2 linked regions of the Danio rerio genome follow. The protein of the gene in region 1 purifies or fractionates together with the protein of each later gene. This does not show direct contact. Links are inferred from orthologs where the notes say so. Each region holds a gene or a part of one and is shown on either strand. Other genes may lie near its edges.

What was found.
Region 2: the proteins of fam117bb (region 1) and dcaf7 purify together in Homo sapiens (affinity purification with mass spectrometry; 3 studies listed by BioGRID and IntAct, with this or other methods). This does not show direct contact. The link is inferred for Danio rerio from reciprocal best matches to the Homo sapiens genes FAM117B and DCAF7.

What each region holds. Positions count from the first base shown.
Region 1 is NC_133184.1:13,325,738-13,333,712, reverse strand, and holds part of fam117bb (protein FAM117B), read right to left. Parts: intron 3,698-7,975; coding exon 3,584-3,697; intron 1,114-3,583; exon of another isoform or gene 1-1,113.
Region 2 is NC_133178.1:30,504,034-30,512,787, reverse strand, and holds the start of dcaf7 (DDB1- and CUL4-associated factor 7), read right to left. Parts: upstream 4,549-8,754; 5' UTR 4,405-4,548; coding exon 4,267-4,404; intron 2,562-4,266; coding exon 2,403-2,561; intron 463-2,402; coding exon 351-462; intron 250-350; coding exon 131-249; intron 16-130; coding exon 1-15. UniProt on the Homo sapiens protein: Involved in craniofacial development. Acts upstream of the EDN1 pathway and is required for formation of the upper jaw equivalent, the palatoquadrate. The activity required for EDN1 pathway function differs between the first and second arches.

The sequences.
Region 1 (7,975 bases):
GGTTTGAGTCTTAGTCTGAGTACAGTTCAGAGGATTAAATACAAAAGATGAATACAGTGAGACGACAGATGGTGCTTGAGCCCGCCACATGGACTTTAAAAAAAAAAAAAGACCCAGCCACACAACGGGCCCCAAAAAAACACACATCCAGCGGGCCGGACAGAGTGTGGCCTTTAATTGACTGGCTGGCAGCTACAGTACAGTGAAGATCAGGCGTGCGGCACATTCACCACATGCTGGACTAATTCATGGACAAACACAAAACCCAATGAGAGAGCGAGAAAAAGACGGAGGGAGGGAGACACGGCCAAGCGAGAGGCTGCAGTAATTTATTCACTGTTTCTGTCTTGGTGAAGAGAGCTCTTTCACTCTCAAACAGCCTGCTAGCCTGCACCTGGCCTTGCCAATTATGACCCACACACACACACACACTTTCACACACTGGTATGCACACTTAGCCACTCACATGCTTTCAGAACGAGTGCGACAGAGAAATCCACAAGCTCAAAATGTGTGGAAACCCAAGAGATGAGCGCTTCTAAAATGATTTCGATACATAAGTTTTGTAATTCTATTTCTGCTTATATGGCATGAATTGCACTCACTGCACTGTGTTATGCTTATGTCAACAAACAGACGCTCTTGTGAATCAGTTGGAGGGGACTTTCAGTCAGTACAGACATGTGGTCTGACTTCAGAAGGCTTTTTGGGTTTTGCAATGCCGAAAATTTGGGGTGGAATTGTGGCATGGAGACATTAAGATTGAATCAGCTGTATAACTGAATGTCATGGCGCATTTGTAAAAGTTTGGTTTTGCTTGAAGATTATGTGGCAGAAATATAGGCCCATTACTATTGTACAGGAGAAGTTGCTTCTTAAAAGTAGTAATAATCATGATCTTAGTAATATTGCTTTTAAAATATTAAAACATTAAGTATTAATACACTTTATATAATAAAAATAACAAAATAAAGTAATAATTACACAGTTCCTGCTCTGTTTTTAAACTTTTGCAGGCATAAGAAGGAATTTAGAAAAATAAAAAGCCACTGTAAAATGTTGCAAATATACAAAACTTAAATGATTTCATTTTAATTTCTTCAATTAATTAGAAAAAAAAATACTTTTTGATGATTTAAATTAAATTTTAAATATTAAAAGGAGAAATTCAAACCAAAATAATAATAATTTGGGAAAATAAAATGGATTTCATTGGTTCTTAGTGATATTAGCATATTATATAAATGTATTTACTTTTTATTAAAAAATGTAGGCCTACTGGAACCATTTTCCACAATCTAGAGAAAAAAAAAATCCCTAATTTATTAAATAACAGTGTGCAAAAGTATGAGATTTGAAGCTTGGCTCAAAGGTGAATATTAAATAATCAAAAAAGTGAGCAAAAGTTTATTTTTCTTTAAATGTTCGAGTAATCAAATAATCTCTAAAAAAATATGTTTTTTTAAATAATAGATTTAACTATTATAATAAAATATAAAATCTAGTGGTGGGCTGTTATCGTTGTTAACATGCTGCATTAACGCGAGACTTTTATTGCGCAATAAAAAAAATATCGCCGTTAATCTATTCTCAAAGTGGGGTTGGAAGCTGGGTCTATTCTTTGCAAGTTATGATGACTTTCACCTTCATATTTTAAAGCGGTATGTATACCTGACCGGTGAGCTGTCTGACAAAAAAGTGCCATTCTGAATCAAATTAGCAAGATTCCTGACATTTCATTCATACCCCCGTGACAAACTGGGGTATTAGACGCAAATAAGGAGTAAGGACTGGTGAGAGTGTTATGGCATTTAATAACACAGGCCAAATGGAAAGAAAAAAACTTTTGCATTTCGCGATGTGTGTGTGTGTGTGTGTGTGTGTGTGTGCGCCTGTGCATCTCTGTGTGTGTTTGTGTGGTCCTTTACTGACATCCGCCTATGTGAATCTTGTCGGATAATATAGCTAAAAGTCCTACATGACGGTAATCTTTTGATCGTGGTGTTTACTTCAATAAAGCCACTAATATCTGCATACTCCACATGTCCTAATTCCATTTCTGTTTAGTTTACATGTTTACATGGTAAACTCTTAATCTGTGTATTGTTTTAATCATATTCAAGCATATTCAGCCATACTCAGTGTTTGACATACCGTCAGGGCTCTGTGAACTTGCCTTTGCGAAGCAGCATTTTCTGTATGTACGTACATCAAAAGCAAGTATGAAATCGCTGTGTGGAGCTTATGTAGGCCTAAAGTTCAAAATTAATGTTTAATTGAATAAAGAGTTAGTAAACACAAGTACATCTTATTGAACATCATTTATTTTCATCATTAATTATCATAGTAGAACAGTTTCTCAAGCAGTTTGTGATGCATTTTGGACATAGAAGATGAGTCCCTGGTCAAATACACCATCTGGCTTGAGAACCCCGTTCTCAAATACCAATTATTTGGGTAGCACACATATTCTGAATGACTACGGCAGAATTCAAATAAGCCATTTTAATCTAGAGTAAAAAAATATAATAAAACCTATAATAAAATCACTATAAAATGTCCACAAAAACATGGGGCAACAATGCTTTTAAAAGCATTTATTAGTACTAAAATTACTAGAATACAATAATAATATAATAATAATAATTACTTGAGGTTCAAATAAACATAACAGAATGCTTTCTGAAGGACAATAGTACACAGAAAAGTTTTTAACCCAAGCTCATTCTGAAAACGTACCCCTATATACATTTGTGAGGCGCGGCAAATATGTCCCAGGAGCTACGTTTTTGATGCAGTTTTTGTTTTCACGAATCCACCAGAGGCTGCTGTGTACTGGCATTTTCATGTAAATCCATCAGAGCCCGCTGTGTACTGCTGTTCACGTGTAAATCCACCAGAGGCCTTTGTTGACTGACTGACTCCTCCTTCCCTCAACCCAACCGACAGTTTTAAAAAGCAATCCAGAAAAAGAAAATCCCTCGCTTGATTTTTACCATATTTTTATATTTCACCACATTTTCACCCTGTTATTTACTTGTTTATTTACATTTTTTGTGTCTGTTTTTGTCCTTCCTGCTTTCTGAAACCGTTCCTCACCAGACTTGAACCCCGTCATTGTGGTCAATTTCTCTCAGCACCGCCGACATACATTGCGAGCTAACTGGACAAATTAGTAACAGCGGGACAGCCGTCCACATGAAGGTAAGAGGTCAGCTGGTAAGCGCAAAAAGGACTGATGTCATACCGCCCCATTGTGCTCGCTCTAAAAATGAAATGCAGCCATACGTACTTCTGGCTACATAATTTGCGATCTCCACAAATTTATATAGGACTACGTTTTCAGAATGAGCCTGTGTTGAAAGTTTTTACTCTTATTTTTGATTAAGAAATAGCAGCCACAATCTAACTAAACCCACAACTTTTGAATAATAAAATACAAATAGACCCAAGCTAATGGGTGCTGGAGGAAATGGCTCTGCTATAGATGTAATAATTGAATCCACGAAAGAAAAAAGTAGAAGACAAATAACAGTGGTGAGTGTTCCTGTGCTGAGCTGAGAGCAGGTGAGAAAGAGCTCACCTGTGATTGGCTGAAAGCAGCATGGTTGCCATTGAAGGGAGATTTGCGTTCCTTGTCGCGATGGTGACGACTGCTGTGTTTACTGCGCTGGAGCTGCTGCCTCAGCTTCACAATCTGAAACATGCAGAGAAAGACTGTCAGGACACACATTATTCCTCACTTCAAGTCAACTTTCAAAGATAAAAACAGCACAAGATTTTAAAAATGTACATTCAGATGGTCATTATTTCAAAATAAACCTCTTTGTAGTGATAACAAAGAGATTACAGTATGATAATTACTGTACGTTACGTCTTATTGAATGCTAGCAGTGGATGAGTCAGAGTCCAGGGTCAGATGGGATTGTTGATTGTCTTTTTGGCATTACATTCCACACACACACAAATAACCACCCCAACCTTCTCTTCACCCCAAACACATCCTTTTAAAAACATTTATGATCGATATTCTTTCCCTTATAAACATCAAGGTCTGTTGGACACACTTTTAGCTTAGCTTATCTTAGCTTAGCATAAATGATTGAATTAGATTAGACCATCAACATCTCGCAAAAAAAAATGTTTCGATAAATCTCAAATATGAATGGATTGTACACCCTAAACAAAAAAGACTGCTATCATTTTACTCTTCACTTGTTACAAACATTTCTGTGTTTTTCTATTGCACAAAGGAAGATAGTCTAAAGAAAGCTGAAAACCTGTAACCATTGACTTCCATAGTATCTGTTTTTCCTACTATGGATGTCAATGGTTACAGGTTTTCAGCTTTGTTTAGAATATCATCTTTTGTGTTCAACAGAAGTAAGACACTCATAAAGGTTTAAAACCACTGCAGGGCCAGTAAATGATGACAGAACGTTTAGTTTAGAGTCAATTGTCCTTTACAAGCTTGACTCTTCTGTATATAGTGCAGACAGAAAATAAAATAAAAATATTTGATCAATTTTCTTGGTGATATGGATATGAACTTTCCTCTCATTCAAGCGTAAAAATCAATGAACTTCTGCTGCTGTACCATGGCGGGAGCAGATAATACGCAACAGTGCTGCGTACCTGTACCTGCTGCAGCCATGGTATGACAAAAAAGTGCTAATGGTCTAATCAGATTCAATGATTTATGCTAAGCTATGCTAAAGTAGAAGTTGATTAATATAGAGCAATTTAATTGTACAATTAAATTTTTCCAGTAATTAAAATAACAAAATCTATATTTTTCTTTATGTGGTTAAGGGTTTTACATGGTTTTTACTCTTAATGGGCATGTTTCAGTGCATTCTGGGTTACCATCTTGTCTATGCTGGAATAGGCAGTTCACCTATAATAAACAATAGAAGCCTTTGCTTTGTTTCACTTGAAACAGATCTCATAACACGAGGGGCCTCCGATTAGACACAGCCATGGCAAATGGTCCTGAACTTTGAGTTTGAACGCATGAGTTTCCTGATGTGTATTGTGGGTGCAAACTCACCAAGAGGGAGCTTAATTCTCTATAATTGAATTATGGAGTATAAATAAGTAGGATTACATTTGTGTGTAAGATTCATTCATTCATTTTCTTTTCAGGTTAGTCGCTTTATTAATCTGGGGTCACCACAGCGGAATGAACCGCCAACTTATCCATGTTTTACACAGAGGATGCCCTTCCAGCTGCAACCTAGTTCTAGAAAACTTTCATACGCTCTCACATTTACACACATTACGGCCAATTAAGTTTATTCAATTCACCTATACCCCACTGTGGTGGACTGTGGGGGAAACCGGAGCACCCTGACGAAACCAGGCTCAAACCAGGCATGGAACAATAACCGTTTTCAATTTATACTGTGGTTTGAAAAAGTCAAGGTTTTAAAACTGACAAAATGTTCTGTAATACCGTTCCTAAGTTATGTGTAAGATTTTTTTTATTTGTGTTTTTTAGGGCAAAAGTATCTTTAGTAGAAAAAATGTACAAAGATGCCATTTTTAATTGTAAAGAAATCTGAATATTTAAAACTACAGACGATAGCAGAAGTCAGTGATTTATATTAATTATTTAGCCCGACATGTTTACTGTTCCAGAATATTATAAATGTTTCTCAAAATAAAATATATTGTGTTCAAAGGGGAAAAAAAGTTTTAGTTTTTTCAGTGTGTCCACAGTGTTTTAAAAAAATCTTAATGTCTCAATTTCAAAAACTAAATTTAAAGCCCTTAAAAAGTATTAAATTTACTGAAATATGCTGTTGTGGGTCTTAAATACTTTTAAATAGGTCTTTCACTAATTGTCCATGTAAAGCTATGGCCAAACTGTAAAACCAACTTTTAATTTTAATCGGGCAAATAAAAAAAAAATTATTAGTGTTTTGCCAAGTGAAAGTCTGAAATTTCATTCATAAAGGTCTTAAAAGGTCTTTAATTTGATGTGATGAAACCTGCAGAAGCCCTGTTTTTACCCACAGATTTAAAAAGAATATATTATAGAGCAGTAATCATAATACCATGATACAGTGAAACCGTGGTATTTTTATCCAAAGTAATCATACAGTCAGAATCTTATACCGGCCCATGCCTAGCTCAAATTAGCAACCTTCTTGTTGTGATGCGATCGTACTAATCACTGAGCCACCGTGTCGCCATTTTGGTAAGATCATAATCAAAAATATTGGCTTATGAAAGATTTTGAAATTAAAGAGCGTCATTATGTGAAAAGAATCTTGCAGGTAAAGATTGTTGTGAATTGAGTCAGATCTGATTGCCTTTTGTGTGAAATAAACACAATAATGTTGTAAATAATCAGATTCTTCACAGATCAAGTGTTTTGATTCATTACACCTCCATGCATCATCAAAATCCGTGAATGTTCATTTTGTTTTCCATTTGTCTTAAAGTGCTTGTAGTTGATTTGCATTTTATGAATCATCAAAGTGGTTTCAGCTTACAATATTATTTAATGTTCAACTGGAAAAAACACAAAAGTTACCAACAACTTGAATAGCCAAACATGAACAAACTAACAGGAAAACCTCAGAGCAATGAAGCAATATTTCTTAACTGAACAAATCTGTGTTTTTGAACAAGTTGTTCAAATTAAAGTCTCAGTTACACTCGAGGCGGTCACTTGTGCTTTAGAAATAGGCTATTACCAATGAAATGTTACATAACTATGTAATCTTTATTAACCACAGCTACAGTGGATGAAATCCTTTAGTCTTTTTTGTCCTCAACTCTAAGTCTTCTCACTCTCAGCTAAATATCACATTTCCTGACTTTCACTGACTAAAATGTTGCATTTCCATGACCTGTAATAAACAGAAAAAACAGGTAGCTGCTGTGCTTTGTATAATAATAAAGTGTATATCAAAAAATATGACCACATCACACCAGTCTTACGCTCTTTGACTGGTTGCCTGTGCACCATAACTTTTAAAATTCTTCTCCTGATGTTTAAATCACTAAATGGCCTGACTCCTTCCAACCTGTCAGACCTGTTGACTGAACATCAGCCTGGTCGGTCTCTTCGGTCATCTAACCAGAGACTGTTATACATCCCAAAGTTGAGGCTGAAATGCAGGGATGGCCGGGCTTTCGCAGTAGCTGGTCCTACCTTGTGGAATGCTCTGCCCCTCTGTATTAGGCCTATATCATCTCTGTCTGTTTTTAAATGTAGGCTGAAAGCTTACCTTTTTGATATGGCATTTTTTGAGCTATAATAACTATCAATGAGAATTGTTTGTTTTAGCTATAATTGTATAGCTTTTTCTTTGTGATTTGTATTGTTCACATTACACATTGGTCAACCTTTGGTTGTGTTCAATAGTGCTATATAAATAAATTTGACATTGACATTGGTTGTTGCCTGAATATAACTTTACAGGACATTAAAAGAAATACAAGAACGACAATGGATACTGTATTTTACTCACTGTTTGCGTGACTCAAATACAGCTCAATAGTAGTTTTACAAGCCTTACATCAGGTTGAAGCCAAAGCTCCTAAAATTGATATCATTCCGACATGTTGGCCTTAGGTTTTGCTTACACGGCAACAAAAAACATAAAGGTTTTTCTCTTGGGTTTAAAAAATACTTCACGTCACACGCTTTAAAAGAATCCGTTTTTACACCTCTGAGAAAATGACCAAATATGCTGAATGAGGTATGGCAGGTCAGTTTTTGATGCTGTCACCTTTAAGTAAACAATATCTGTTTAAGGATGTGATGAAGTGCTGTTGCAAGCTTGGCGCTGTAGAATCTGCTGTTAGTAAGAAGCGTCTCCGCTGTTGGTTGAAATGTGAAGTAAACCCACACTTGAGCAACAGCACTACCACATACTCCACAATTGTTGTGGGTTTGTTCGCACTTGCCTTTAATCTACATTTCCCTAAACATGGAAACATCAAAACAGCATTTTAAAAA
Region 2 (8,754 bases), on another chromosome or scaffold:
TGCGATGTCATACACCTGAGAGCCAATAGAAAAGCAGGATTTAAATGGGAGAGAGAGAGAGTTGCAGAAGTTGCAGAATGACATCAATCTGAAATGAGAACATGAAGTACTGGCTCGAGTTGTTCCTAACCTCCTTGTCGTGAGCAATTAGCTGTGTTTTGACGTGACCCGACACTAGGTTGACTCTTCCCAGGACCTGTCCTGTCTCTAGACCCCAGATTGTACAAGTGGTGTCAATACTAGATGTCCCTGAAAAACAGAAAATAAACATACATTGACAAACTGATGGGCTTTGAAACTGAAGGCAAACATACAAATGCACAAAACTAAATTCTTCCCAAAACCCTTACCCAGGAGGTTGGGGTCCACTTCATTCCAGTCAAATGAGGTGAGGGGTGCACAGAAATCAGAGTTCTTATTATTATTCAGCAGACACTCCAGACGGGTCTCTGTATCATTCACCTGACAACAACAACAACATACATCCAGTTCACTTACTTCATTCATGCACAATGAGTTTCATGGTCACAGTATTAAAGGTGCCATAGATTGCAAAGAAGTTAAATTGTTCTTTGAAATCGATATAGTAGCTATTAGTGTTGTCACGATACTGGAATTTCCAACTTCGATACAATATCTTAAAAAAATATCAATATTTGATGCCATTCACATGGAAAAAATTCTTTTACATTAAAGGTTTTCAAATGAAGTAAAAAGGGGGAAATAATTACCATATAATGCTCATACCAGGTATGTCAGCAGTCCTTAAGTCCAAAATTCAATAAATTACAAAAAAGAAACTAAATTAGTGCAATCTCAGCTTATTTTCTGATTAAAACTAGTGTTAAAACCTTAATATTATTATTAATTGTTCATCTCCCTGCTGGTGAGTAGAGAGTGCAAGAAAGCAAAGCCAATATCGATACTAAGCAAAAAGAAAGATTGTAACATTTGAATTGTTTCAGTATTAATGTATCAATATTTTGACAACACTAGTAGCTATGAGGCTTAGGTAAGTTTTACCTTTTTATAATAGGCTTAATTATAACTCTAGAAAATATCCCTAGAACGACAACCATGTTTTTGACCATATTTGGAATGGTCGAGAATAATAACGCAGCAGCTCGTCATAACCTGGGGCCCGTTTCAGAAAGGAGGTTAAGAAAAAACTCAGAGTATTAACCCTGAAATGAGAGAAACTCTGTGTTTTCAATTTCAAAATGGCAAGCTTGTCAAGCTGGAGAAAGCAAGGTAAGTCAAGCCAGTTTTTGAAAGAGAGGTAACTTTAACTCAGAGTAAGTTACCACGGTAACTGACTCTGTGAACCTAACCTGGTCAGGAGCTGATTTATTCTCTAAACTTTGAGTTTCTGTCGGTCTTCTACCCTTTTTTTAAAGACAAAGCTGTATTTCTCACCTTAGCCTTACATTTCCACCTACCTATTTGTATGCTTTTTGCATATGCGCATAAAAAAAATCAGTTGATGGAAACGCCAAGATGCGCATAACTTTTGAAATGTTATGTTTAACTGATGAATGTAAAAGTGGGAACCTTAAATTAAACCGGTTGTCTGGATTCTTGTTCAATATTTTCAAATGAAGATGTGAAAAAGTTTATTTGAAACAAATGGTGTTTGAGGCTCATGATATATCATTTCCATGTACTGGACACTTTTTATTCAGCTATGGCCATGTATATCTAGGTTTTCCTTATATGGCATCTTTAAAGCTAAAGTATGCCTGATTGTTTCAAGCTGGAATCAAATCATAATTGACTCCATTTATCTCTTAATACACATTCCTGGTCTTATCGTGAACAACAGTAATCCCTGATATATCCTGAACAAAGCTCCACTGGCTTGTAAGAGATTAACATAACGCCAGCCTACAGTCTTCATTAAGTGTCAACAAACACTCAGTTTACTCGGACCCTTTAAAGCTGTAGTATGAGGCCTGGAACAGTTTAGTTTGTGCTGCAGCCATGTTGAGAAGACTTGATCCACTATGCAATCACTTCCAAAAAAAAAAAAACTAGGAATTTGCAAGGGATATGGTAGAACTGACACTATTGTTTTATCAGTGTGTATACAAGAGCTGAAATTCAGATATGGTCATATATGATTTAAATTCAAAAGTACACTGTTGTAAACAGAATAAGCCATTTGACTAATCAGAACAAGGTAGACTCTTGGAAAGAAGGGGTTTAGAGAGATTGAATCTTTGAACAGACTGATTCAGGTGCTTCATGTAAGACAAAATACTGCTTTGCATATTATGACATGACAGGTGTATTCTTGATCTAGGATGAACTTATTATAGAAGACCTCCAAAACAAAAAGAGCAAACTTTAATATTGCATAATAGGGGCACTTCAGAAACTGTGCACGTGCTCCTCCTGCATACCCTCCATATGCGCAGATAGTCTCCACTGGTTGCCAGTAGGTCTGGATAGACGCCTTTGGTGTCTGGGATCCACATGATCTTGGTGGTGGGGTACGGATGATCAAAAGTGTTTCTGCATACAAACTCTGAGCTCTCCTCCTCAAGACCAACCAGCTGGACCTGAACATCACAAAACAAATAGCATGATGTCATAAGTTTCTGACAGCATGAAAGTAGCACCTTTTTCATTTTTATAGACAATTATATATTTTCCCACTTTATTTTTGTGATCATTTTTGGTTGTGACTGCAAGCACCATATGTTGTGCCAAAAATGTGTTTTTCGGTTACCTGTGGAGCAAATATCTAAAAAAAACCAAATATATTTACCTTCCATTTTCTGCTTTGAAGACTGCTGATTAAATTAGGGCTGGACGATATGGCACAAATGCAACCTCAATAGTTATTTTCAATATTAAACGATGACAATATATATTTTACGATACAAGTTGATAATGCTTCCAGATTTAAAAGAGTACCCCAACAATGACTGAAGCCACAAAATATTAGAGGGTCCATTAAATGGCATAACATATTTTCAGCTGATAAATTTTCAGTTAGAGTTGTGCGATTTGGGGAAAATACCCAATTGCAATTTTTTTGACAGACATTGCGATTTTATTTTTGATTTAATTTTGTAGTCAAGATTCAGCTCAATAATTTGTAAGTTGTGGCAACAACTCTGCGACATCTCTTCAAAATGACCTGTGTTTGTTCCGTGTCTGTGACTGAAACTAAAATATTCCCATATCACGACATGCTGTTTTTCTTTGATATGAATTCTTCTATTAATACTTCAGTTGCAGATGCCATATTCCCACCTTCCTGCATTTTGCTGTTTGTTTCCTTTTTATTGAGGGTTTTCGGCATAGTTTGGTTGTGCAATTCTGTTTAGGCAGAATGAAAGTGTGCTCACTCAATTGGCTAGTAAGACTGTCAAGCTACTACGACAGTTTCAGCGGGGGAAGCTAAATAATACTTCATATCGCAGCCTCTTGCGATTAACTTGTTGCAACGTTTCGAATTGCAATTCGATTAATCGCACAGCGATTTCAGTAGCCGAAAAAATGGTACAGCTCTAATATCATCAAACTTTCAGATTCCCATTGTGGCACATTTCTGCTGTGTGATTGGCTCTTAGATCAATATAGAGTAAAAAAGTCCAGTGCTTATCATTGTTATTTATATTATATAATATTGTGATTCGATATGATATTTATATAATATTATGTATTCATAACTACGTGTGTGGAGGGATGAATAGTGTTTGTAAGTATATGCTGTGAAGTGTACATGTGAGTGGTAGATTTTTTTATGTGATAAAGCACAATAAAATGGCTGTATTTAAATGAATTCTTCTGGTCACTGACATGGGACTGATGATAAAAAAAGAGTCTATATTTATTTTCCCACAAAAAAACAACAACAAAAAAACAGTGGTAATGATTAAATGAAATGTCTAAAATTATTGCATTTTCTGACAATTATCATCAGGACTGGTGCGGGTGGTACAGAAAAATCTGTCAGTGAAAGGGTTTTGAAAGCCCTAGATATACTTCTATTATGAATTTTAGACAGACATTTTGTCCTCTACGAACCTATTCGTAACCTTTAATTCGCACACGCTAAATACAAGATACAAAATAACAGTCGCTTAAAATATACAATTATTAGTGTCTGTCATACATTTGCGCGTTAAAATTCCAACACTGTGGAATAACCTGCACCTTACATGTTTTTAGGCTACACACTTCACTATGTGAAATGATAGCGTGTGTCATAAGATCAGACATAAAGCATAGTGTTGTGTGGCAGCAGGTGTTTACCTTGTTGTTGTACTCCTCGACGAAGCTGCCGAGCGCGAGCCGAAAGCGCTTGTCGGGTCTGACGCTCCAGTTCATAGCATAGACGGTCCATGGCGCCTCGTATTTGTAGATCTCTTTTCGTTTACCGTGCAACGACATGCTTCAATCCCAGTGATCGGCGACAGCTAGAGAGAATTAGGTCGTTAGGAGTAGCTTGATTCGACGGGATGTTTAAAAAAGGCTCTTACAGAGATAAATATGGTCTCGGGTTTGTGCAGCGCGAGACAAAGAGAACGTCATAACAATCCCTCTCCGCAACGGCCGCGAAAACGACGAGCTGCCTACAAAACAGCACGATTCCTGCCTAATAAAACACGCAAATAACCATCAAACATTCATAACTGCGTGTAGCTAAAGGGCCATGTTTTTCCTTAGTCCCGACGGTTTTAATTCTAACTTTAGAAAGCCCTAAATAGGCCCTACCGCTCAACGGCGCATTTGGTCTGAAAGATGTGTGTCTGCGTTTCAAAATAAAAGTCCCGGATAGAAAATGGGGGTTGAGCGCTGAGGCTATTTATAGATCCATGTTGCTAGTTGATTATTTTACTTGCGCATCATACTGGGCGGCATAATGTTTATGAAATTTTGATTAATTTTAGCTCCCTTCAGCCATGGAAATTAGCAAAGTGTAAGATTTTTTTTAAACTGCAAAAACACTAATCGCAGTATGAAAATGTAAAATAAGAGTGAATATCAAATAGAGAATAGAGAAATATGAATAAAAATCTGAAATCTGATTTAAACAGAAGTGATTAGTAAAAATAATGTAAAAAAATGCTTGTAAACATATTTCATTCTCACTTTAAATTTATTTGAGACATTTCAGTGTCCTAATTATCTTTGAACCTTTGAAACCTGCAAAAACACTAAATAGATTAAAATGCAAACATAAATGATAAAATATATAAATAAATTAGTAAATAAATAAATAAATTCTTCATAAATAAAACATTACATAAATTAATATGCAAATATATAAATAAATGAATAAATAAATCCATAAATTATTGCATAAATAAAACATTAAATAAACAACATTTGCAAATTAATAAATGAATATAAATAATATATAATACGAATATAAATAAATGTATATAAAAAATCCACAATTGTTTTTGCATATATAAATATTTAAATAGAACGAGCATGCAAATAATTATATAAATTACGGGAAAAAAAGAAAATGCTAAACTGAAAGTTTATTCATCCCCTCTCTCAAACGTTTATTAGAAAAAAACTTTCAGTGTAGCATTTTTATATTCCCCTCCTGTAATTTATTTAATTATTTGCTTGCCTGCACTATTAACTATTTATATATTTATTTATGCAGAAATCTATGGATTTATTTACTCCTTTATTTATACATTTGCGTATTTATTTATTTATTGTTTTTGTAGGTTTCGCCCTCCATAAAATTGTAATAATAACAATACTATAAATAAATGCACAAATTCCTCCATAAATAAAACAATAAATAAATAAATATTTAGATAAATGAATAAATATACAAATTCCTGCATAAATAAAACAATAAATAAATTATATATATATATATATATATATATATATATATATATATATATATATATATATATATATATATATATATATATATATATATATATATATATATAGATAGATAATTCTACAGATTTCTGCATAAATAAATATAGAAATAATTAGTATTGCGGTGAGAAAGGGGGGAAATCTACAGTTTAGCATTTTCTTATTACCACATATCCGTGTAATATATTTAATTATTTATAAAAAAAAGTATACATATTTATTTATTTGCATATTTATTTATTGTTTTGTTTATGCAGGAACTTGCGGATTTATTATTTTATTTGTTTGCATATTTATTCATTGTTTTTGCATGTATGGTCCTCCATACATTGGTGTTGTTATTATTTAATACACAATATTATATATTTATATTGTATATTATACATAATATGTGTAACATTAATAACTAACCACGACATCTAACAGTCCACACTTCAGCTACAGTTTAAATAAAAAAAAAAAAGAATCATTTATTAGAGCGGCGTAAACGCCCGAATCTTTTCCTTTTCTTATCCTGGTTGTCAAGGCTCGCGCGCAAAGCATTGTGGGTAGAGTGATTCGGTCAGATGACCCCCTTGCCTCTCCTGTGAGGGGTACAGCTGCTGTCACACACTGAAGGTAACACCGGCGGTTACAGGTGGGTCTTCTTAAATTCCTTGGTCTTTTTTGTAATAAACCCGTGATCTGAAACGTTCGCACAGCCGCAGTGCAGCAGAAATGTCGCGTGTCGTTTGAACGTTACGGCTGTTCTTGTGGCGGCCGTTGCTAGTGAGCTAATCGGCTATCAGTCTACGGGGCTCATGGGGGATGGGGGAACCCGGGTTGGGACCTGTTAAATGTAATATTTGTTAAATTTATCAGACTTGACTATTACTGTATATCAGTCCGGTGTGTTCTCTAGCAGTTCAGCGTGAAAGTTTTAGTTTAACGACGAGGTGGCGCTGGCACGACGAGGTTTTCCGAGATTGGAGGTTAAGCTGGGTTAACATTTAATATTAACTTTGCGGTTTGTTATTCCAGAGTTTATTCCAGGACTGGCCTTGTAACAGGTGGAGCATGACTTGACAGCCGGTTATAGCTGTTAACTGATATTACTAGTTACGTGTAACTCCTTGTCTTGGCATAAACTGCTGTCAGATTTTTTTTTTTTTTTTTTACATACAATAGATTGAAGTATTGCTATATTAGTGCCAGTTGTAGTGTAAATGAATTCAAACCAGGCCTGAAGTGTATTTATGCCATGATGTTGTAATGAAGTTATCTTTATCTTTAATTATTATTTTATAATAATAATAATAGACAATTAAAAAACTTTTTTATATTTTCATATATTTTAATTGTTATCTTAATATTTGGTCATTTTCAATTTAGAATGAAATATACTGTACAAAGACTGATATACTATATACTAGTCAGCCATGGCTTCATTTGGGTATTAAAAGGCCATAAAACTAGCTAATTTGTGTTGAATATATTAATAGTAACATTAACTTACAAGACTAAATGAGCTAAAAATCAAAATGTAAACTCAAATAGTATTTAATATTTTAGTTTTTTCACTTAACAATTTGTCATTTTTAGATTAGAAACTCTTTTTCCAAGATCTTTGGCAACCTAATATAGGAAAAAAATGACACAAATGTTGAAAAGTCGTGAAAATGTAAAGTTAGGTCCTATATTATTTTTATTGTCAATACTATAATGCATCTTTATGTTTTATACATTTGTGTTTTTCATGCTGTGTTTTTTTTTCTTTAGAAAGAAATTGTCATTTGTAATTTTGCTATTTATTAAGAAAAAATTACATAATTTGTTAAATTTCATTATTATTATTATTAAATATAGTTTACATTTATATAGACTAAATAAATATACCAGGACAATTTGGTTGGCCCCATAAGTCGATGCTCATACTAAAGCTCCATATTTCTCCTCTTGAAGGAGAACATGCTACAGACTGTACCATGTGATTATTAAAGACTTTCAGCCAATTAAAGACACTTGTTTCAGTGAACATCTGAGGCTTAGGCTTTGACAATAAGACTCTCAAATGAATGTCTTACCTCCCCCTTCCTTATCTATCTATCTATCTATCTATCTATCTATCTATCTATCTATCTATCTATCTATCTATCTATCTATCTATCTATCTATGTGGTGCAAAACCTGGATATTTGAAACAATTATTTGTTCATCTATTGAGTGTTTTTCTGCATTGGTTATCAAAGTATTAATACATGCACACACACATTTCTGGTTAGCAGTTTAAACACTAGGTATTTTGTTATTAGAGTCTTATTTTGTGTTTACTACAACATGCCTTATTGTCTTAAGCATGGAGTACTTTGGGCTAAGTGTGTTTTGACATGTTTTTGGATATACACACTAAATAATTCACAAGGTAGTATCGTGACTGGTTTGATCACCTGTAATGTTATTGTCAAACATCGACTCTGTATTTTTCACTTACACCTCTACATTAGTTTATAGTACCAACAAATAAGCCTGAATATGCACTAGGGCTTTGCGATTTGGAAAAAATATCTAATTGTGATTTTTTTTTTTTTTTGACATATTGCGATTTGATTTATAATTTAATTCAAGCTTTAGCTCAATAATCTGTAGACCATGGCAACAATTCTGTGATATCTCTTAAAAATTACCTGTTTTTTTTCCTCCTGAAGGACATGCATAATAAACAAAAGGTAACACAAGATATTTTATATTTAAAACAATTTAAGAATATGGAAAACAATAATATTTATGACAGGCCTATTTAAATAATTTAAAAAAAGGATTAATTTGTTTTTTATTGCACAAAAATATTTTTTTCCACAGCTGTAATTTTTAAATGATCACATGACACAGGCTAGCAGAACATGT